Linked DNA regions of Lonchura striata. Each later gene encodes a partner of the first gene's protein in a complex. Links are inferred from orthologs where the notes say so. Each region holds a gene or a part of one and is shown on either strand. Other genes may lie near its edges.

Region 1 (7,950 bases):
CTGCCCACCTGCCCATGGCTCAGTCCTGCACTCTCCAACCCCCTTTGTCATTTCCCTGTCCCGGGTGGGCTGGTCCCTGCTGGAGAGAGCAGAGGTGACTGGGACAGCCCTGGCTGGCTCCCTCGGGGCAGTGAGAGCTGTGCCCTGCTGCTGGACCCTATCCCAGATTGAAAGGCAAGACGTGCTCTATTGCCATCTCTATGGCATTGCCTTCTGTTCATTGGGCAGTTTTCCTTCTTTCTTCCACAACCAATCCTCTCTCAGGGGAGACATCTGCTGATAATGGGCTACTGAGTTAAAACATCCCATTGTGAGATGCTCCACCCAGAGGGAGGAGCCAAGCATTCCTACCTGGATATAATCTGTGTTTTTGGAACACCAACACAGGTTTTTCTAATAGATTCCCAAAAGGAACAGCTGGGGTTTTCCACTGGAGCTTCAGAGGAAGACTCCATCCTTCTACAGGATCCCTGCTCTGACAGAACCACCCCTGCCACTCCAGGGACTGCAGCCACTCCAATTTGGACTGCCACCAACACGCTGTCCAAAAGGGTGTCAGGTTGTGTTCTGACTCTGCCAGTGGTTTTCCTTTTGTGTTATTGCATGGATTTTGTTTCTTTTCCCTTTTCCTAATAACCTGTGTTTGTGACTTGGGAGTCTCTCAATGGTTTTGCTTTCTCACCTGCAGGCACAGCAGGAAGGGAGGGGGCCCACACTCAGCACACTTCACGTAGGGCTCCGTCAGGTACGAGGAGCAGCCTCGGCACGGGGGCTTATCAAAAGGGTCACCTGGGAAAACCACAGGAAATCTCCTGTCACACAAGCACAGCACTGCTTTGGCAGCCCCTAAATCCCCCTGTGCCCAGCCCCGGCTGCTGATGGTTCTTGTGGGCCCAGCTCAGGATGTTCTGTGATTCTATGGATTTTAAATGAACTCAGTTGTGCAACGAAATTAATATGACTGTCAGGTTATAATGGCTTCAAACTCAAAGAGAGCAGGGTTAGATTGGAGAACTGGGAAGAAACCCTTCCCTAGGAGGGTGGTGAGGATGCCCAGAGGAGCTGTGGCTGCCCCTGGATCCCTGGAAGTATCCAAGGCCAGGTTGGACAGGGCTTGAAGCACCCTGGGACAGTGGAAGGTGTCCCTGCCATGGCAGGGGTGGCACTGGGTGGGCTCTGAGGTTTCTTCCAACCCAAACCAGTCTGGGATTCCATGATTCTGACTTTTTCCAAGAAAATGGTTTTGAATCAGTTCAATTATAAGTAGAGAAAAATAAGGCAAAAGTCAGACCGAATAATTTTTGTGAGCACTACACCACGTCCCCAGAGTGCCACATTCGCTCAGTTTTTGGCCCCTTTCTGGGACAGTGACACCGAAATCCCACTGCTCCAAGGAATCCTTGTGCCGTGCAGGTTTTCCAGGAGCAGACGTGGGAGCTGGATTCTCTGAAGGCACTTACTGCTGAAGGAGGCCAGGCGCTCCATCCCTCCCCCGGCGCTGCCTGCTCCCTGGGTAAAACCCGGCTGGGAAACGCGCCAGGAGCGTCAGCCTTGTCCCACACCAAAGGGAATTATCCCAAAGGGAATTCTGCCTCTCCCACAGCCCTCGCGGCTCTGATCCTCCCAGGATGTCCTGAGCAGCAAGCAGAAGGGCTTCAGCAGCCGTCAGAGCCCACTCCACACGGATCAGAGTCCCTGCTCTGGCTGTGGGGGGAATCCGACAGGAGGTGTGGGGTGGTGGGGATGTCACCCCGAAGCGAGCAGAGTTATGAGCAGCTGCTGCGCAGGGAAGTGCTCTGCACCTCCCAGAGGCACTCCCCGCATCCCACTGCCCGTCCCAGTTCTGAGTCCCTCACATCCCAATCCCCATTCCCCATATCCCACTTCCCCATATTCCACTCCTCACATCCCAGTTCCTATTCTCATTCGCATTCCCAGTCCTCACTCGACCATATCCCAATTCCCACTCCCCCATATCCCCATCTCCATCCCCATATCCACATCCCTGTTCTCATCCCCATATCCCCATACCCATCCCATCTCCATATCCCCATATTCCCATCCCAATCCCATCCCCATTCCCATCCCCATTCCCAATCCCATCTCCATCCCAATCCCATTCCCATCCCCATATCTCCATATCCCCATTCCCGTTACCATCCCCGTTCCTACCCCCGTTCCCATCCCCATATCCCCATTCCCATCCCCATATCCCTATCCCAATATCCCCATTGCCATATTCCCGTTCCCATATTCCCATTCCCGTTCCCATCCCCATATCCCCATTCCCATTTCCATCCCCATATCCCCATCCCCATATCCCTATCCCCATATCCCCATTGCCATATTCCCGTTCCCATATTCCCATTCCCGTTCCCATCCCCATATCCCCATTCCCATTTCCATCCCCATCTCCCCATTCCCATCCCCATATCCCCATTGCCATATTCCCGTTCCCATATTCCCATTCCCGTTCCCATCCCCATATCCCCATTCCCATTTCCATCCCCATATCCCCATTCCCATCCCCATATCCCCATTGCCATATTCCCGTTCCCATATTCCCATTCCCGTTCCCATCCCCATATCCCCATTCCCATTTCCATCCCCATCTCCCCATTCCCATCCCCATATCCCTATCCCCATATCCCCATTGCCATATTCCCGTTCCCATATTCCCATTCCCGTTCCCATCCCCATATCCCCATTCCCATTCCCATCCCCATATCCCTATCCCAGTATTCCCATTCCCGCTCCCGTCCCCAATTCCTCTCCCGCCCCGCCTGTCCCTCTCCCCGTCACCGCCAGGCGGCGCCCCCGCCCGGCCCCGCCCCCTCCGGCCCCGCCGCGGCCCGCGCGCTCCCGGCGCCCCCCCCGCTGCCCGAGCCCCGCTCTGCGCGCTGCCCCCGGCCCGGCCCGGCCCGGTCCCGGTCCCGGTGCGGCCCGCTGGGGGCGGCGCGGGGAGCCGGGGGTGGTGGGGGGGGGGAGCCGGGGCTCGCCTCTCACCTCGCTCGGCGCGCCGGGTCGGGCCCGCGCGCGCGCGCGCGCTCCCGGGCCCGCCGTGCGCACGCGCCGGGGCGGGGCGCGCGCCCCCTGGCGGGACCGGCGCGCGCCGCAGGGGCCGCGCCGCCCCGAGCGGGGCGAGGGGGACCGGGAGCGAACCGGGCCGGGACCGGCACCGGCACCGGCACCGGCACCGGCACCGGCACCGGCACCGGCACCGGCACCGGCACCGGCACCGGCACCGGCACCGGGGCTGGGCAGGAACCGGGCTCGCACGGCCGGTGCCGCTGCCGCCCGGGGTCCCGCGGGGAACAGCCCCGGACCCCTCTGACCGCCCATCACCGGAGCCCCGCTCCTTCCCGGGGCGGCTCGGTCACCGGAGCCCCGCTCCTTCCCGCAGCCTCCCCGGCTCCTGGCGCTGCCCGGCCCTCGGGGTGGCGAAGGGCGGATTTCCACGGGGAAAGGGCTCCCGTGGCACTGCCGTGTGAAGCAGCTACGGGAGGAACTGGTCCTGCGGGGGATTAGAGCTGGATGTAACGGGGAATCCCGGAGTGGTGTGCGTGGGGAGGAACTTCAGCATCACCCAGTGCCACCCCTGCCATGGCAGGGACGGATTCCGCTGCCCTTGGACACTGCCAGGGATGTGCAGCCTGTGCCAGGGTCTCCCCACATCTCCTTCCCGATATTCCATCTAACCCTGGCCTCTGGCAGCCTGAAGCCATTCCTCCTCGTCCATCCATGCTCCTTGTCTGAACTATTTACCAACAAGATTAAAAATGCTGGCAGTTATTCCCTTTTTCTTTTGCCCAGGCACGTGCAAAAAATGGGAAAAAAAATTGAGGATTTGGGAGAGGCAAATGTACGGAATGTCAATTAAATGTTTATTGCTTCTGCTAACAGGTTTTTCCTGCATCTGGGAATTAGGACTCTGGGTGGTTAATGGAAGGAATCAGCATGTGGGAATCTGGTTCCTGCTGTTCCCAGGAAAGGTGATGCATCTGCAAGGTAAGAATGCTGTCCTGAATCCTGCAGCTTTCCGTGGACTTCAGATATTTCAGTGTTGAGGGTTTTCCTGTTATGCCCCTGGCATGGGAGTGAAAAAATATTTATGAGGAACATTGAAAATCCGTGGAGTCTTACAGGATTTTCAGGCCAATGTTTTAGTGACACGGTGTCTCCAAAACCACAGCCTCCTGATGGCTCCTGGAGGGAGCAGTGACAGGAAAAATCTTTTTTTCTGGAGCCTGCTCCAGTGGTTTCCAGCTCAGCAGAGCCCTGAAGGTGCCCCCAGCCCATGGCTGCTCCATGGCACGTGTGAAACGGCTCCAAAGGGTCTCAGCTCAGCTCCCAAAACTGCACTCCAGGAAGATCCAAGGGGATATTCTGGAATGAACTAAGTGCTCACACGCTGCTACTCAGAGGTTTTAGCAAATGAAGCAATTTTCATTTGCTGTTTGAGATTATTTGCTGGTAATTTCTGCTCGCCTGCAGCCCAGTGCGGGAGTGCAGGCTGAGCCCCAGGTGAAACAGTGGTTTTGGGGCAGAAATCAGTGGGAGCATTTTCAGGCCTCTCCCTGCCCTTGGTGGGATTTCTGGGCGCTGTTGGGTGGAGTTTTTTTGTGGCGTCGGCGTTTTCTGCCTCGGACACACGGTGGCGATGGGAATCGCCTTTTCCTCCGGAGCTTGGGGCTTGCTCGGTCACCACACGTGCTGTGTGCCCCCGGGAATGGAAGGATGAACCATTTCTGTTCAATCCCAAATAACCGCTGACATTTCCCAGCGGCCGAGGCTCCAGAGAACCCACAACGCTTTCTCAAAAGCGCTGATGTTACTTAAATGAAAATGTTTATGTTGAAAACAAGAGCCAATGGAGCCTCGAGGGCTGGTGTTTTGCTTTAAAAAGTGATCTGACCTTTCTCTCCGTTCCTTGGCTGCCAGGACACGAGTGGTGCCAGGCTGGCAGTGTCACCGACCCCCTCACCCGGGATGATCTGTCCTGTGTTTGCACTGGGGGTGTCATCAGAGAATGGTCAGGAGAGGTGGAACCAGCACTTGGCGTCACGAGAGGTAAAAACATTTCCCCTGTGTGTTTTGGAGTTTATTTACTAAGGCTAAGCTTCCTGTTTTTGAGAGAACGCAGTGGCACGAGTTCACAGTGCACATGCTTGGGAGTCATGGAATGAGAGTAAATAACCGTGTCCAGCTTTGGAGAGGGACAAGAAAAGGATGTCAGGTGCATTTACCAGCCCCCCTCCAAAGCAGAACGTGGGTATGATTCAAACATTTAAAAGACAACAACTGGAAAGTTGTTTGAACCCTGTGAAACAATTAAAACGCAGATTATTCCTGCCCAGACTTGAATCCCAGGATCGTTATGTTGGAACAGACCTCCCAGATCATTGAGTCCAACCTGGCTTCTCACCCAGCCCAGAGTAGTTTAATTTCATGGAATCTCCTCAGTTGGAAGGGACCCACAAGGATCAGCCTCACTTTCCTCCAGCTGATCATTCCACGTGCCCCCAGCCTCTCCTCACATGCCTTCCCCTCCAGACCCTTCGCCATCTCCATAGCCCAAAAATGCTCCTTCCAAATCCGTGCTGGACTTTTGGGGTGAATGTCTTTAACTTGCTCTTTTCCACGTGTTCATGCCTCTCTTTGCCCTTGAATGGAGGAGGTGCTGCAGGATTTCAGTGTGTGAAGCAATCCCTCCCCCAGCAGTGTTTGGACAGTGTTTGCAGCTGGATGGATGCGCTGGGCTGGGCAGGCAGAGTGCAGGTGCAGGTTTTAGCAGGCCTGGAGCTCTGGGAACAGCAGCCAGGATGAACTCAGCAGCTGTTGTAACCTCCTGGTTTGGTAAGTTCTGTGTGTAGTTATTATCAGTGGTTTGGGACCAGCCCCTCAGCAAGCCAATCACTCCCCCTCACTTCTGCAGCAGCTGGGATTTAGCACTGGAGACCATTAATTAACACCCAAAACCTTCTCTTCAGCTCCTTCCTGAAGCACTCAGAGGAGGGTTGTTTGTGTGAAATACACATCTATATCTATGTATTTATCTCTACAGCAGTATAAATAAAAGTGTTCCTGCCCAAAGTTTCCAGATTTGGTCCAAGTGGATGTGAGAATATGGTCTGTTCCCCCAATAATTTTATTAACTACAAGCCCCCAAATTGGCTTTTCTGGGTATTTCTTGCCTGCAGTGGGCACCCATGCCACCAGGTGCAGTTTCCTGCAGTCTCACACCTTCTAACCACCGCCTTGGTGGAAATTCTCTGTATTTGGGAACAGTGGATCCTTGGGGTCCCTGCAGGATCAGCCTGCACAGGTCACCACATCGAGCACTTAAACTTGTGTTACCCGTTCCATTTGTACTTCAGCAGCCCTGTAACAGCTCGGAGCTCAAATAAAACACAAAAACGTGGAAAAAGGCTAGCGGGGTAGTTCTTTAACCCATTGTCCGTCGGCAGAAGGAGCAGCTGAAGGTCAGAGAGGAGCAGGAGGGGCAGTGGCAGTGCCAGCCCTGCTTGGCCGTGCCCTCAGCACCTGTTATCAGCCTGTGCTCCCTGGCAGTGCCCGGGGACAGGCCGGTGTCCCCGCGGGCAGCGCGGGCAGCGCACGGCACGGGCCTGCTGGATCTGCAGCAGGGCACTCCTCTCCTGCCTGCTCTCTGCTCCCGTGCCCTGCCACCTGCGCAGCAGAGCCCTGCCTCGTGTTCAGGTGTGCGGCGGGTCCTGCCTGATTGCTCTTGTGCTGTTGGTGCCACCGAGAAGAGCCCGGTGCAGCTTGGCCCCCCACCACAGACACCGATGGGCGCCGGGGGGCCCCTTGGGGCACCTCGCCTCCAGGCTCAGCAGGCACAGCCCCCTCGGAGGGTTTCCCTCCCAGCAGCGATGCTCTGGTCCTGGGGGTCCTGGGATTCCCGGCTGGCCCGGGGGTCCCGGCTGTCCCAGGGGTCTTGGCTGTCCCGGGGTCGCGGGGATCCCGGCTGCCCCGGCTGTTCCGGGGCTCGCGGGGGTCTCAGCTGTTCCGGGGGTCCAGGCTGTCCCGGGGGTCTCGGGTGTCCCGGCTGTCCCGGGGGTTCCGAGGTCCCGGGGGTCCTGGCTGCCCCGGCTGTCCCGGGGGTCCCGGGTGTTCCGGCGGTCCCGGGGTCGCGGGGGTCCCGGGGATCCCGGGTGTCCCGGGGATCCCGGGGGTCCCGGGGATCCCGGCTGTCCCGGGGGTCCAGGCTGTCCCGGGGGTCCCGGCTGTCCCGGGTGTCCCGGCGGTCCCGGGGTCCCGGGGATCCCGGCTGCCCCGGCTGTCCCGGGGGTCCCGGGGGTCCCGGGGATCCCGGCGGTCCCGGGGGTCCCGGGGATCCCGGCTGTCCCGGGGGTCCCGGGGATCCCGGCTGCCCCGGCTGTCCCGGGTGTCCCGGGTGTCCCGGGGGTCCCGGGGATCCCGGGTGTCCCGGGTGTCCCGGGGATCCCGGCGGTCCCGGGGATCCCGGCTGCCCCGGCTGTCCCGGGGGTCCCGGCGGTCCCGGCGGTCCCGGGGTCCCGGGGGTCGCGGGTTCGAGCCCGGGCGCGGCCCCGCCCGGCGCTCAGGCCACGGGCATCGCCCCACAGGCCCCGCCCCCGCCGCTCCTCCCCATTGGTCACGCCCCCTCGCCGCGGCCCCGGGCGGCAGCCAATGGGAGCGGCGGGGAGGCGGGGCGCGCGCGGGGCGGGGCGCGCGCGGGGCCCGACCCGAGGTAACCCCGATCACACCACCGGGAGGGGGGCGGGCCCGGGGGGCGGGGCCGCGCGGGCGCGGGGCGGGCCCGGGGGCGGGGCCGCGCGGGGAGCGCCAGGCCGGGGGCCCGCGGCGCCTCCGCTGCACCGGCACCGTGAGGTGAGGGCGGGGCCGCGCCGCCGGCGCGGGCAGCGCGGGCAGCGCGGGGGGCCCGCGGCACCGGCGGCCGGCGGGGCGGGC
Region 2 (7,135 bases), on another chromosome or scaffold:
AAATAAAAACTTTGAGATTTGGCAGCAGCCAGAATCTGTCCACCCACTATAAAAATCTCTGTATTGCATTTTATTATTATATAGTGGCGGGATCTTAAATCATGTAACACTAACAGCTTGAAAAAGAAAATCCATGTTCTGGCAATTCCCCTATCTCTTTCAGCTACTTCTAGTATTATAATTAGAAACAAAGAAACCTATGCAGGATTTGGTCCAGAAAGTAATGACTTTTGTTACCATCCATTAATTAATTTTCTTACTATCTGGTAAGTCCTTGTGAATAAATCACCCTTGGATTCCACGGCTGTGAGACAGCAGGTAACAACTGCACTCACTTATGTCATGAATTAAGTTACAGCACTTCTCTGAAAATTGAACTATGCAGATTTCTATCACTATATGTGGATGGGTAGAAGGAGCAGGGCAGCAGTAATGCAGTATGGATTGCCTTTGCAGAAAGTACTGTTACATACTGTTTGCTAGTGCAACTTTTCAATGTTCTTTTTGGAGAACAATTGAGGGTGTATTTTCCTTGGAGGACAGAAAACAACCAGTTAACCTCTTTTTTTTTTTTTGAACAGGTTAAGTTTGATTGAACCAGGCCCAGTGGTTACAGAGTTTGAAAGAAAAGTGTTTGAAGATGGAATGAAAATGGATCTTTCAGCTGCAGATAAAGAAACAGCTGAGATGTTTACTAACATTTACCTTAAAAATTACAAACAAATTTTTCAGAGCCTGGGACAAAGTGCTGAAGATGTTGCAGAGGTAACTCATAAAAAATTCATCTTTTGTTGTTGTTGTTTTCTTCCCTTTGTAATTTATGAATACAGTGGTTGGCTGGTGGGTTTTTCTGGTAGAAGCATTCAGATTAATTAAATGTACACAATTAAAAAGTTTTTTTAAAAATTCAAAAGAATTTTCAGAGTCTTTAAACAAAAGTCTACAAAATACTAAAAGAATGTTCATTTTGAATTATTGAAGATAACTATGAATTGTAATTTAAATACTACTCAGATATTGGATGCCCTTTACATCCTCTGGTGAAGTCTGAATATTCTGCATTGTTACCATACATCCACCCAGGGTTCCCAGTACTGGTAAAGCTCTGTCCTTTCCACCTCACTCATAATCCCTCCACTAAGGGAAGTTCACACAGCCACCCCAGGCCACCAAGGCACAATAAAAGAAACTTGGATGTTTCTGATGTTTGAAGCTTCCTGCAGGAAGACAAGTTTAGGCCACCTGTGGGAGGGGATGATGATTTCAGGTGTTTGCTAGAAGGAGTATCTTTAGTGTCAACTGATGATTCCCAGATCTTGGTGTCAAAGGCACAGTCCTGTCCCTTTAGCAGTGAACTGCAAAAGAGAGGATCTACCTACTGTGGGCATATAAGCCCACAATCATTTGGAAGACTACTCAGGATACTAAATTGTCAGATGCTATTGCCATGGTATAGAGAAACAGAAGAATAAATAAGAAATACTTCTTATGGCCTTTGAATATTTCAAGAAGAATTTCTAATGATGGTTTAGTAAAACTATACAGGGTTTTACATAATTCTAGCACTTTATTCTTCTACTTTTCCACTGAAAACTGGGTTTTTACTTTACTGTCTTGGTAAAGGTTCTTTTAAAATTCTGTTTCTCCTTCTCTACAGCATACAGTAAAGATAATTCTTGCAGAAAATCCACCTTTTCGCCATCAGACCAACACCTTGTATACTCCAATGACAACTCTGAAGTACGCAGATCCAAATGGAGATCTACCCATTGACATATTCTACAAAATGGTTTTTCAGCATGACAAAATCTTCAGTGCAAGTCTCAACTTCATCAAATTGCTACGGTGGAGAAGCAGAAAGAGCTTTGACCTGGGAAAACCTTCACAATAAGTATGAGATTATATAGTGCAAATTGGAATTATTTTTTGTAGCTACTGATGACACAGTATGTTGTTATTCAAATGCCTTTGGTCTGTAATTAAGAAAATGCATGCAAGGTACTTGTTTGAGCTTAGCTAAGATATTCATTTCAATGTGTATCTCTTGAATGTTACTGTTTGCAGACCCTTGCAATTAAAATCCTCTAACTGTAGTTTTATTCTGTTTAGTGTTTTGCTTTTTCCAGAGATGTTTTCTTAGGAACACGAACACTGACTGATATTTGTGTATTCAATATTAACCTGACCTCCTTCACTTACTTGAATATAATACACACTGAGAAGTGTACAGTATGCAGATGATTTAGATTCTTAATATCATAAAAATATGTTTTTACTTATTAGGATAGAATCAGTATTGTAATTGGTCAATTACACTGCCATTCTCATTTCCAGAAGTCGGATCTATTTATCAGCAACATAAAAGAAAGTCTCATCAATCTTAAAATGTGACTAGTAGAATATTTATTATTAATATATTTTTATTATAATATTCTAAATGCTTCCTTTATATGCAGTGGTTACTAGCATATTGCACTTAGCAAGCAATAAAATGTTTTTTTAAAGCATCTTAAAATAAAATATCTTCTTACTGTCTGGGTACTACTTTTTGAAAACAAAGAATTGTCAGTAATAAGTAATCTCAATCCACTGAATTCCTTCAGTACCTTCGGTGTCTGATACAGAACCCTCTTGTTCCAAGCTATCCTAATAAGTACGTGTTAAACCAAAATTCTGTCATGTAGAGCGGATCTTTTCCCTTGCTTTTTCTCAGCCTAGTGCTCCAGGTGGTTTGAGGCCAAGGTTTGAGGGGAGCCTGGCTGCAGTGCTATTGCTGAGCCTGTCGTTGCTGTTCCCTGACCGCAGCAGAGGCCGAGTGACCCTCGGGCCTCCAGGCTGCAGCTTCCCAGCACATTCCACCCACAGAGCCCAGCTTTCCTTCAATACCGTCTCAGAGAGCCAAAACCTAATTCCGTGCTGCGACTTGCAGCGGCCCCGCCCTGCCTCTCCCCAAAGGAGCTCAAAGTTTCTGCGGCTCCCAAAGACTGCGGCTAATGCAGGGCTTGCTCTGCAGTTGTGACCCTTTTGGTGGGGCCTAGGATGCAGGGGCATGCAGGGGACTGAGGGGACAGGAGCAGCCGCAGCAGCTGCTGTGCACAGCTGGGGGCCCCAAGCAGCCCAGCATCAGCGTGTGGATGAGAGGTGAACAGAAGCAAGCCCGAAAGGAGAGAGCAGGAATTAAATGACAGCAGAGTGCTGCTGGGGCTGAAGGGAGCCTGGCAAATTGCCCCTCTGCAGCTGAGATCTCCTTGCCACCTGCTGAGGGTCAGCACAGGGTACTGGACAGAGACACCCACAGAAGGGCTAGGCCTGCCAGCAGCCCCAGTGTCGCTCAGCTGTGCTTGTCTCTGTCCTGCAGCTCGGGCTGGGCTGCATTCCGGGGCAGTTTTTTCCTTTGCAGCACACAGCAAGACAAGACCAGGGCCGTGGGTTTAGTGAGCCTTTCACAAACACTACCGTGGTCTGGCTAATTCCGTCTCGTGCAACCCTCACACTACTGGCTATGAAGTGAGTGCAAGCAGAAAACACAGTGTAATAGATAGATAGCTGCCGAGTAAAGCCAGCCCTGCCTGCAAGTCGTGAATCAACTGCGGAGGGACGAGCCTGGCGGGGCTGTCAGATCCCCTGCTGCTGCCGGCACCGAGGGGAAAGCCGGGTGTGGCCGGGTGTGGCCGGAGCGCAGCTCCAGGCGGAGGGCGGCGGCTGAAGGACCCCTCGCCGCCGCCCGCACGTGGCAGCGCGGCCTTTCCGGCGCTCCCGGCGGCGGAAGCCGCTCCGGCTTCCGGCGGAAGCGCCGTCCCTCGCAGGCTGAGCCGGGCTCGGAGCGTTTCCGCCTCGCGGCCGCCGCACGGCCGGGCCAGCCGGGGCCAGCGGAGCCGCGCGGGGCTTCCGCCGCTCGCCTCCCCTCACACAGCTCTTAAGGCAGCGGCGCCGGCGGCCGAAGGATGTGGCGGAGGCGGCAGTGGCAGGCGCCGCGGCCGAGGGAGCCCTGAGCCCGAGCAGCGCTTCCCGGCGCCGCGACCCTCCGGCCCGGCAGCGACCCCCGGCCCGGCCCCGCCGTCCCCCGCCCCTCGGCGACGCCGCCCCCGCGGCCCCGCCCGCCCCCGCCGGGTCCCCGCGCCCTGGAGGCTCGCGCGGGCGCCGAGCGCAGCCCGTGAGCCGAGCGCAGCCAGGATGGCCTCGTCGTCCGGCAACGACGACGACCTCACCATCCCCCGGGCTGCCATCAACAAGATGATCAAAGAGACGCTGCCCAACGTCCGCGTGGCGAACGACGCCCGGGAGCTGGTGGTCAACTGCTGCACTGAGTTCATCCACCTCATCTCCTCCGAGGCCAATGAGATCTGCAACAAATCGGAGAAGAAAACGATCTCCCCGGAACACGTCATACAAGGTGAGCTTCCGCGGGTGCTGTGCCGCTGCCGGCCCGGGCACCTGGGAGCCGCTCCTGTCCCGCTGCCGCGTTTTCCCCTCTGGTTGCTTGTAGCTACGCAGAACACAAAAGGCAGGCTCTGGTAAGGGTGTGGAGGAGAAGCGTGTGCTGTCTGGCTTGCCAGTCGCGCTGCAAGAGAGCATGTCTTTGTGTGGTTAGAGCGGCTGCTGGCTGTGCTCAGGACCAGCTCCGGTGTTGTGCCTCAGAGAAGCCTGTGGTGCTGTGAGTGAAGTCGTCAGATCTCTTCCTCGTACCTGGGAAATGAGGTCTGCTTTTTCGAATGGATGTGCAGCGTGTTTCAATAATATGAATTTAGTAAATTTTTTTTTTTTTTTAGTTGGAGATTGATTATGTGGGGCCCAGACTTTATTCCATGGTATTCTTGTCTGGAATCTCTAAAGAGTATATTTCTTTAGGACTGTCCATAGAGTCTCATTGTTTAATGTTGGATCTTCGTATCTGTTTCAGAAAGCATTTAAACGTGACCTATGCCCTTGTATTTTCTGTGCTGTTTACTTGCACTTCTACTTGCTTGAATAAAAGGCGAGTTCTCTCTCTGTCTTGTTGGTTTTTCTTTAAATTCTGTCGCAAATAGGTTTTCTTGCCTCATCCCGAAGTCTGCATTAGGCATCGTTTTTTGTCAGAAGTCACTTGCTTTGCTTCTTAAGCCGGGGTTGTTGATGTCGTTGTTTGCTGCAAACAAATTTATAGCAGCAGTAGTGAAAGAGTTCTTCACTCGGCTGCTTAGTAGAGGTATTAACAGCAGCATTTGTACTACAGCTGTTTTCAGGGCTATGATGGTATCGAGTTCGTTTAAAAAAATCTTGTCGTGATCTGATTTTTTTAAGCAATATTTGCTGTTTGAAGGAAAAAAAAATTACAGAAGAGGTTTAAGTACTTGACTGGGTCATGAACTGCAAAAGAAAATAAGTAGCATGTACGAGCTTTAATATTAAATTAAATGCATGTAAGCTTGCAAGTTTAGCAAAGTAGCTCCATCACAGAAGCCTAGGATGTAAAGTAAAACCTGTGCTTGCACATGGAAGCATACTTTAGGTGTGATGCTCTTTAATACATGGATAGTTTTTTCAAGTCGCCACACAAAATGTTTGAGGTTAGTTCTTAACACAGGACAACGTGTAATCCTTAAGACCGAGGGCAGTAAAGGGTTTATGTATGAAAGTATTTTGTACCCAGTAGTGGTAGTCTGTAGAAAAGAGTTCACCTATTGCTGTCCTAGGCTTTGTGCAGGTTTTTTGGAACAGAAATTGAAACTAAAGTGGGTGTGCATAACATCAGCAGATGGTCCCATGCCAAGTATTTTGCTGGGTTCTGTGTCCTTATGTTATCACATCTCAGAGTTAGAAAAAGTTATTTTCAAATTAAATCTATACTTTGTAGCAAAATATTGCAGTGTATCCATTTTTGTAATGTTTTAGAGATGAATGGATTTTCTGCTGTGCTTATGTTTAAGGAAGTAATTGCTATTAGCTCATTTCCAATGCTGGTCAGCTGGCAGATGATCCTTCTGTGAGGTTTGAGGGTTTTGATTGCCACTTTTGGAAACAGTGATTGTGTGTATAAGTAGAGCATTTCAGCATTTTCATCAATCTTCATACATTCTAGATACTTGCTGTTTTGAATGCCTCTTAATGCAGCAGCGTCATGATAACGATGCTAACAAATGAGGCAGTTGAAATCTGTTGTGGTCGCCCATGTATCTTTTTTGTTCTGAATGCTTAGAAGTCAAATGAGGCTAATGGCCATCACATCACACCTGGCCCAGCCTAAGCACAGGGTGCTGCCAAGAGGAGTCTTTTTGTACTTTCTGAGAGCGGGAGAGTTCAGATTGTATCTGGCAATTGCAGATACAGCTGACCCTGTGGCCTTTGAGAATTTAGGGCAGAGCAGGGTTTCCTCTCAGGTGAGTTTGCTGGCTGACTGGGGTCTACATGGAATTGTTGTGCAGTAAGGTAGGCTGTGGATTGATGTCAAATCTTGTCTCTTCTTTTCATGGACTGTTAGGATACTGACAATGTGTATATTAGCACGTAATTTTAAGAGTCCCACAACTGTTCATGTTTGGGATTTTACTTTGGGAGGTCTTATTTCCTTTGAAAGGAGCATAAAAAATTAAAAGTCTCAGATATTAATGGATTGATTTTATAAAATAAAAGTATTACTAGCTATGTGTCACTGATTACTCAGAGACCTCCACCTTCATGCAGTCATTAAGAGTAGGAGGAAACTGGGAAAAGGATAATTGTGATTTGGTGTTTGTAAATATGAATGGTGCTATCCCAAATGCTGTATTTTGGAATTCAGCTGTTTACATTTGGTGGGATAATTCTAGCCTCAGGAAAATACTAAATTTTAAGTCATCTGGGTAGGATGGTATGTTTAAGACTCAAAAAATAGAAAGGCTTTGAGTTTTGATGAGAGAGCAGCTCTGATAGAGTAGTAGTCACTTGTCCCACATTTTCTCACCATGCTTGTATAAAGGGATTCATAGTCCTTCCATTCATATGTGTTCTGTAAGCCTTGATGTGCTTCAAGAAGATGGTCAACTTTGTAAGTTGTTTCACAGGCAGCAGAATTTTGATGGAGTAGATTTATGATGCATAAATCATTTATGGTTATTCATAGCTTTGTTATATTGAATAACTGTAAAAATCTGTCTTGGTTGTATCACGTGAGGGATTT
Region 3 (7,359 bases), on another chromosome or scaffold:
ATTTTGCTTTTCCAAACCTGCTTGAAGCCATGAATTCACAAGCAACATAAGGGGAAGGAAAAAAAAAAAAAAAAGAAGAAAAGGAATGTGGTTTGTCTGATTATCTTTCAATTTCCTTGCCAAATGCTGAAGTTCTCATGTGCAGGCAATCCTCAGCTAATTAATTTCTGAATTTCATTCAAATGTTCCTTTGTTACCAATACCCAAGCCTCCTTTTCCAGGTAGCATATACACAACAACCAACAATTTCAGAAAGTCCCACGGCTGTTCTACTGGCACAAACATTTCACTTACTTGTTGCCATGTTAATCTCAGACGTTCAAATTGCTCCTTCCCATCTTCTGAGCAATCAGAGCAAGTAAATCTGAAAAAGTTATCTCCTTTGAGGTAGCTGAGCTGTTCTCTCAGTTGACCTAAAATGAAAAGGTTAAAAAAATCAAACTTTTGGCCCTTTTATAGGAATAAGTGCTGCAAAGGAAATTTGGATTTCTTCCAAGATCAGGTTTGTCTGAACAAAAATGACAGAATCACCTGTAAACCCCCAAGCACCCAAAGTTACAGGCTCTAATTCCATGTTTCTACAGCAGAGGAAAAATGATTATATGAATCAGGCTTCTAAACTCACCAGGAGTTTACACAGACATGAACAATTGAAAATTACATCTGAGGACAGGGAAACAAGGTTAAGACTAGAGCGTCTCTGGAAAGTCACACTCAAAAGATGTTTCTCTACAAGGATGTAATCTCTTTTACTGTGTTATTTTTAAAATATGGATACCCTGCTTCCATACTGAATTGCAGAATTCAAGTTGCAACTGCATCTCATGGAGGAAAAACTCCCAACACTTGGTAGATTAAGATAATTTCTAAATGGCAATTCTAATTAAAAAAGTGATTATTTGCCTGAGCACATTGGCCATTTTCACATGAGACAACTGAACACCCTAGAACTGAATTATTAGGAAAGAGCACAGTATCTCCCTTTGACAGCTCATTTACTCTGTACATATGTAAATGTGGCTACCATTGCTTTGTAACTGGCCTTTTCTGCTCCTTGCATTTGTTCCACAGCAACTGCAGAGAGGAACATATTTGTAAAATAAAACAAGATGAGTGTTAAATCAAGTGCTCCAGCACAAGAGAGCTCATGCTACATTTAACTGCTTCATTTTTTTATTAATACATTTCAAGCTAATATTTCCTTTTACTGCATAGTAATTTAATAGTCTGGTGCTGGTTTCATTACATTAACACCAAAACATTTACTAACATGCCTTGAGAGGAGATTTTTACACTATAAATTTTGGCAAATTCTAAGAAGGCAAAAAGGGCAGCTCTGACATATCTGCGAGACAGGTGCCACCTAAACAGCTCGTTATTTCTAACCAAAAACAAAAAAACAACCCCACAAAACCACAAAATCAAACCAAACAAAAAAACCCCACTAAAACCAAAGCCAACTGGTGTTTAGCAATATCTGGCTCTTGGATGTAATAATAGATCAGATAATCCAGAACTTAGAATGTAAAGTTGTCTATTACACTGCTAACAGCATATATATTTTTGTCAAGTGCCAGATGAGAGGCACCAAATTCTGCGGCTTGCTCCTAACACCCCCCAGAGCTGGCTGCTGAAGGCTGGGCAAGTTTCTAAGCCAATTTAAATTCAGATTATTGGGAAAACATTAAGATTGAGATTCAGCCATAAACTCCACAGATGTGACAAATCAACAGGGAGGGGAAAAAGTAACACACAAAGTCCTTTTCCTCCCCAGAGCTTTACAGCAAGGGTCATTATTTGTGAGCAGAGGTCAGGTCGATTGGCCCAAGCCCCTAAAAAGCTGCAAGAATTGTAAGGGTGGGCACGTTTCTGAACTTTAATGTTCTCTATTAATTAAAGAAGACAGTTTGACTTCCTCAGAGAGAGCACCAGCTTTGGGCACACACAGCTCCTGGACTGAAGTGTCTAACACAGCCCCTGCCAGCAAGCATCACCCACCAAAGCAGGAGCAGGACAGGGAACAGCCTAATAAGCTGCGAAACAGGACAGCACAAACACCTTGCAAACACCCACTTTTTGTTAAGAAAATGCACAGACACATACGTCAGCCAATAATCAAAACTCTCCAGAATTTAATCTAATAAAACCAATTCCTTCCCACCAGCTTCCACCAACTGAATTCAGGCTACGAATTACTGTAATTACGGATTACTGCGAATCAATAATTTGAAACTGAACACAAAGTTCATAAACTCATTATTACATTACTATTAGTTAATAGCAATAAACATGTGTGGAGATACAAAGTAACTGATCAACTGCACCAAGAATGCAATCCTTTTTCCTTCACTAAACACTGCAATCTTTCAGGTGGTGGATGTATTTCCTTTGAAAATGCACACTTTGCAAAAGACACCTTTAGAATTTGAGTGCCACAAGTGACAAAGACCTATGAAAAAGTTAATCTCCTCATCTTCCTCTACTCTTGGAAGTTAGCCCTGCTTGTCTTCTGCAGGCATGAAAGGCATGTGCAAGCTTCAATCACTCTGGGCCTGGCACATCAATTAATAAAAGTCAAACGTTTATTAATTTGCATAGAGATAAACTTGAAATAATCTCTACACCGGGAGTGTAAAACATCCACAATATTTATTTCCATGATGTTACCTAAATAACTGGATCTGTTGAACATGAAGCCACTACTGCTTGACTTGGCCATGAAGAATTATAAAAAGAACACAACGGGCAGCCTTACTTGCTGGGATCCACTTCTGGCACTTCTCACAGTAATAGGACATCTCCTCCATCCAGGACGCTTCACCCTCGTCGCTGTTCAGGGAGTCCCCGCTCTGGTCGTGCGATAAATCCACGGAAGCCTGGTCCTCGGACTCCACAATCAGGAGAGTCTCCCCTTCCACCTCGCCCTCCTCCAGGCCCTCGGAGGTGGAGGTCCTGGTGGCTTCATCGTCGTGGCGGCTGAGCAGCCCACTCATGTGAACGTTGTTGGCCATCCTAGAGGGAGCCTGCCCAACGATGGGCTCTTCCTCCCCAGCTTCGGATGCGGGCCAAGCCTCCACAGTCCAAGTACCAATCACGGACGAAATGGGTTTTTGTCTGCCTTAAAGCTGCAGAGGCTGGATTATAATTTATACAAAACAACCAGTCCTTCACAGATTACCTCTGTTTGTTAAAACATCGGCCAGAAGTGAGATGCAAATGACCTTCAGACGTCTTTAATCAAACCTCTAAGGCGCCAGGCCCCGCCTAGGACTGCTGGGAAGGTTTCTCCATTAGCGCCTTGTCTCTCTCTTCAATGAGCTGCTTTGTCAGAGCAATCTGCTCTTCTAACAGGCGAACGTTCTCCTTTTTCTGATTCTGACGCTCGAGATCTCTGACCACGCCACTTCGCAGCCTCTGGAAACACAAAGGACAGGGTTTATCACAGCCCGGGGAATGCTGATCGGGACCAACCCTACCCAAGCTCCCCCTCCCGCAAGGCTGTTCCCTCTGCTGCCTGGGCAGGGGCTTTCCCACAGCAACTCAACGTACTTGGAATCTTCGGGAGCCAATATCCAGGATCGCTACACCAATATGTGCTTTACTTATGCTCACTTCGAATGGTTTGGTTTACTAAGTGACACAACTTTTAGCAAATAAATGCTAGGAGCCTGTAATTCCCGTGTCATGCAGGATGGATGTGATCGAAAAAATCATGTCATCTCTGACCTAAAACTTTACCAAATCAGAATAAGCTCAAAACTTCTCTGCTTGGAGGCAATTTTGTGACAAATTGGAAACTATTTTAAGAAAAACTGGCATGTGTCTTCATTTGCTTCTTTCTGCTCATTCTTAATCTTAAAAAAATACCCACAGACTGCTTGTGCCAAACTCTTGAAAAAGCAAGGCACTTGCTTCACAAATATCCCCATTACCTAAAATGTTTGTTATAAATCATGTAAATATATAACACATATATAAATACATACATAACGTGCAACACAACACCAGCAGCTTTCAACCTCTCAATGGGTGTAAAAAGCACTATGAAAATCCCAGCTGCTTCCTCCATATGCTTCTCTCTCTTACCTAGATATTTTTACTCACATCAATACTTTGATAATTAGGTGAAAGATCAATAATTTATTTGACCCATTTGAATGATGCCAAAATGCTCCTGCAAATACTTTATTTGAAAGCTGACCCTGAAGTCACTTGAGAGGATGTCTGTGGCTATTATTTGACAAGTTATCACCCAGCTTTATTCCTGACCTAGCATGCCAATGACTGCACACTTAAAATGCAATCATTTCTCCTGTCAAGATCAAAACAGAAACGTTTTAATAAATAATTTTATCTTAAGAAAATGCACAGACACATATGTCAGCCAGTAATCAAAACTCTCCAGAATTTAATCTAATAAAACCAATTCCTTTCCACCAGCTTCCACCAACTGAATTCAGGCTACGAATTACTGTAATTACGGATTACTGCGAATCAATAATTTGAAACTGAACACAAAGTTCATGAACTCATTATTACATTACTATTAGTTAATAGCAATAAACATGTGTGGAGATACAAAGTAACTGATCAACTGCACCAAGAATGCAATCCTTTTTCCTTCACTAAACACTGCAATCTTTCAGGTGGTGGATGTATTTCCTTTGAAAATGCACACTTTGCAAAAGACACCTTTAGAATTTGAGTGCCACAAGCGACAAAGACCTATGAAAAAGTTAATCTCCTCATCTTCCTCTACTCTTGGAAGTTAGCCCTGCTTGTCTTCTGCAGGCATGAAAAGCAAGCTTCAATCACTCTGGGCCTGGCACATCAATTAATAAAAGTCAAACGTTTATTAATCTGCGTAAAGATAAACTTGAAATAATCTCTACACCGGGAGTGTAAAACATCCACAATATTTATTTCCATGATGTTACCTAAATAACTGGATCTGTTGAACATGAAGCCACTACTGTTTGACTTGGCCACAAATAATTATAAAAAGAAAATATCTGATTTAATTTACAAAACATAAACTTTGAGCCTTGACCCTTCTGAATAGGTATTAGCCAAGGATTTGGGTCAAAAAGATCCAGGAAGTTTAGGTGTCCCACTGAAACACCCAAGGGTGATGTTTATTGTGCAGCACATGTTCAAAGTACAGCTGCCATTAATTGCAGTTTAGTTTAGTTTAGTTTAGGAGCCTTTAGCAGCTATTCCTGCCAGATCCTCAGTGCCTCAAGGCAGGCACATTGAATTAGAGAGCAGCCAGCTACAAAAATGTGATGTGATCTACCTAAAATATGTTAGGTGATCTACCCAGCACATCCATCAGCTCTGTCAAGTGCAGAGCCATTGCTGGTGACCACTCCAGGATCCCCACTATCCCAATAATCCAGAGTGTTCTCCAACTCCTGCTCACACAAACCTGCCTCTTTCCTTACCCAGACCAGTCTCATCCTTCAAATTCCATCCCTCTCAAGCACTGATAGAGACAATCTCTCGGGGGGGGGAGAAAATATAATCCTCTAATTATAGAATGTATCATAAAGGCCAAGCAACAGCCAGCTGAGCTGGGCTATGGATTGGGAGGTTGAACTCTGGTGTTCTGTAACTTCTGATTGCCTCAGTGTCATTAAACACAGGCTGTTTCTGTGTGCATTTTCTAGATGTAAGTGGAGAAGGATCAGATGTGTGCCCTCATATAACCCTGGGCTCATCAGCAGGGTCCAAACCAGCGCACTCACTGCCCACACAGCACAGCTTTACACAGCCACACAGCTTTTAGTCCCAGGCAGGACTGCTCTGCTTCAGGACTCACCATGGTCACCTGACACCTTTTGGCTGAGGGCTCTCTGGCACACAGGCTACCTGCCAGGAATTCCCTGATTTTTGTAAATATAGCAGAGAGAACCGCCCTGATCAATTATCTCGTGGTGCTTCTGACAGCTTGCACTGTGCCTGCCCTGGCAGAACAAGAGGGGAGCAGGGGCACGGCACAGCACAGGGCTGTCTGTCGTCCAGCAGGGTGCATTTGTGGGGCTGAGGAAGAACAGGGCACACCGGTGGGACAGCACAGCCACAGCCAGGGGAGAGCACTGGGAACACTGCCGGGGGGGTGGCACTGGCTGGAGGCTGCAAGATCACATCCCCCCTCCCCTGTATGCTGGCTGCTGGAGAGAGGAAGCACCTCCAGAGAGCCTCACCTGGAGCTCCTGGCTCCTGTTTGCCCCCGAAGAGAAACGCACAGGACAGCATTAGGGAGCTGGTAGAGCTGGTAGAGCTAAAAGCACAGGCACCAAGGCAGGAAAACGCGGAGAAGGGGTGGCTTGTGGAGGGAGCACCATGGGGAGCAGTGCAGCCGAGGCAGCACCAGCGAGGCAGCGCTGGGCAGGGGCAGCTCCGGCCTCTGGGAGCCGGGCTGGGCCCACACAGAGCCCGCAGCCCCCCAAGGAGCTGCGGGGAGGGATGGAGGGGTGAGGGCCAGGCGGGCTCAGGCGCGGGGCCCGGCGGCGGGCGGGGCTCCGCGTGCGCCCGCAGGTGGGGCGGGGCCCGGCGGGCCGGCAGGTGAGGGGCGGGGCCGCAGCCAGGGCCGGGGCAGGGCCCCGCTCGCCGCCTCCCCCCCGCGGCCCGCGGCGCGCACTCACCTCCAGCTCCCGGCGCTGCTGGATGTGCACGGCCGCCACGGTGGCGGCGGAGAGCAGCGCGGAGACGGCCAGCGCCAGGCGGGAGCCCCGCGACATGGCCGGCGGGGGAAGCGCCGGGCGGGCGGGGACGCGGACGGCGTGAGGCGGCGCGCCCCGCCCCCGGCCGAGCGCCGAGCGCGGCGAGCAGGCCGGAGCAGCCGAGCGCCGATGCGCGGCGGCGCCGGGCAGCGGCTCCCTGGAGATGGCGCTGCCTGGGTGCGCCGCTCCCTGGGTGTGCTGCTCCCTGGAGATGCCGCTCCGGGGCCGGGCACCCGCACCCTGCTGGCCAGAAGCTCTGCCATGGGCTGCTGAAAGCGGGCCTTTGTTTCCCAGCGCCGCTGGGATTGTGTGCCCAGCTGTGCCGTGTCTCCCGGGCTGTTCCCGGCGGGGATGCTCGCTGGAGCTTCCTGCCGGCCAGCGCCAACAAAAGGAGGTTGCTTGTGCGTGCAAGAAACATTTCTGGTTTTGTCGAGGGAAGACCACCGGTTCTGCGCTCTCCTCACCCAGAAATCCCGAAGTGCATGAGAGAAGCAGCTGGAGAAAGCTGCTTTTCAATTGTTTGGTTTCTTCTCATTGTTCAGTGTGTGGCCTTAAGACCCGTGTTTGCCAGTTTTTCGTGCTCTGAAGACAGAATTGCTCCATCCCCAGCCCTGTCTGCAGTGGAAGGGGAAAT

Evidence for each region.
Region 2: TADA2A (region 1) and DR1 share a complex: the UniProt entries of both Homo sapiens proteins name them as parts of the ADA2A-containing complex. The link is inferred for Lonchura striata from reciprocal best matches to the Homo sapiens genes TADA2A and DR1.
Region 3: TADA2A (region 1) and KAT14 share a complex: the UniProt entries of both Homo sapiens proteins name them as parts of the ADA2A-containing complex. The link is inferred for Lonchura striata from reciprocal best matches to the Homo sapiens genes TADA2A and KAT14.

The regions. Positions count from the first base shown.
Region 1 is NC_134622.1:10,484,716-10,492,665, reverse strand, and holds the start of TADA2A (transcriptional adapter 2-alpha), read right to left. Parts: upstream 3,063-7,950; 5' UTR 3,007-3,062; intron 1,705-3,006; 5' UTR 1,486-1,704; coding exon 1,461-1,485; intron 790-1,460; coding exon 683-789; intron 1-682. UniProt on the Homo sapiens protein: Component of the ATAC complex, a complex with histone acetyltransferase activity on histones H3 and H4. Required for the function of some acidic activation domains, which activate transcription from a distant site. Binds double-stranded DNA.
Region 2 is NC_134611.1:20,785,637-20,792,771, forward strand, and holds the start of DR1 (protein Dr1), read left to right. Parts: upstream 1-4,091; 5' UTR 4,092-4,173; coding exon 4,174-4,393; intron 4,394-7,135. Other genes in the region: retinol dehydrogenase 8, read left to right, coding at 582-765, 1,658-1,891. UniProt on the Homo sapiens protein: The association of the DR1/DRAP1 heterodimer with TBP results in a functional repression of both activated and basal transcription of class II genes.
Region 3 is NC_134605.1:22,464,365-22,471,723, forward strand, and holds the start of KAT14 (cysteine-rich protein 2-binding protein), read right to left. Parts: upstream 3,013-7,359; 5' UTR 3,012-3,012; coding exon 2,756-3,011; intron 414-2,755; coding exon 295-413; intron 1-294. Other genes in the region: protein PET117 homolog, mitochondrial, read right to left, coding at 3,265-3,414, 6,648-6,743. UniProt on the Homo sapiens protein: Component of the ATAC complex, a complex with histone acetyltransferase activity on histones H3 and H4. May function as a scaffold for the ATAC complex to promote ATAC complex stability. Has also weak histone acetyltransferase activity toward histone H4.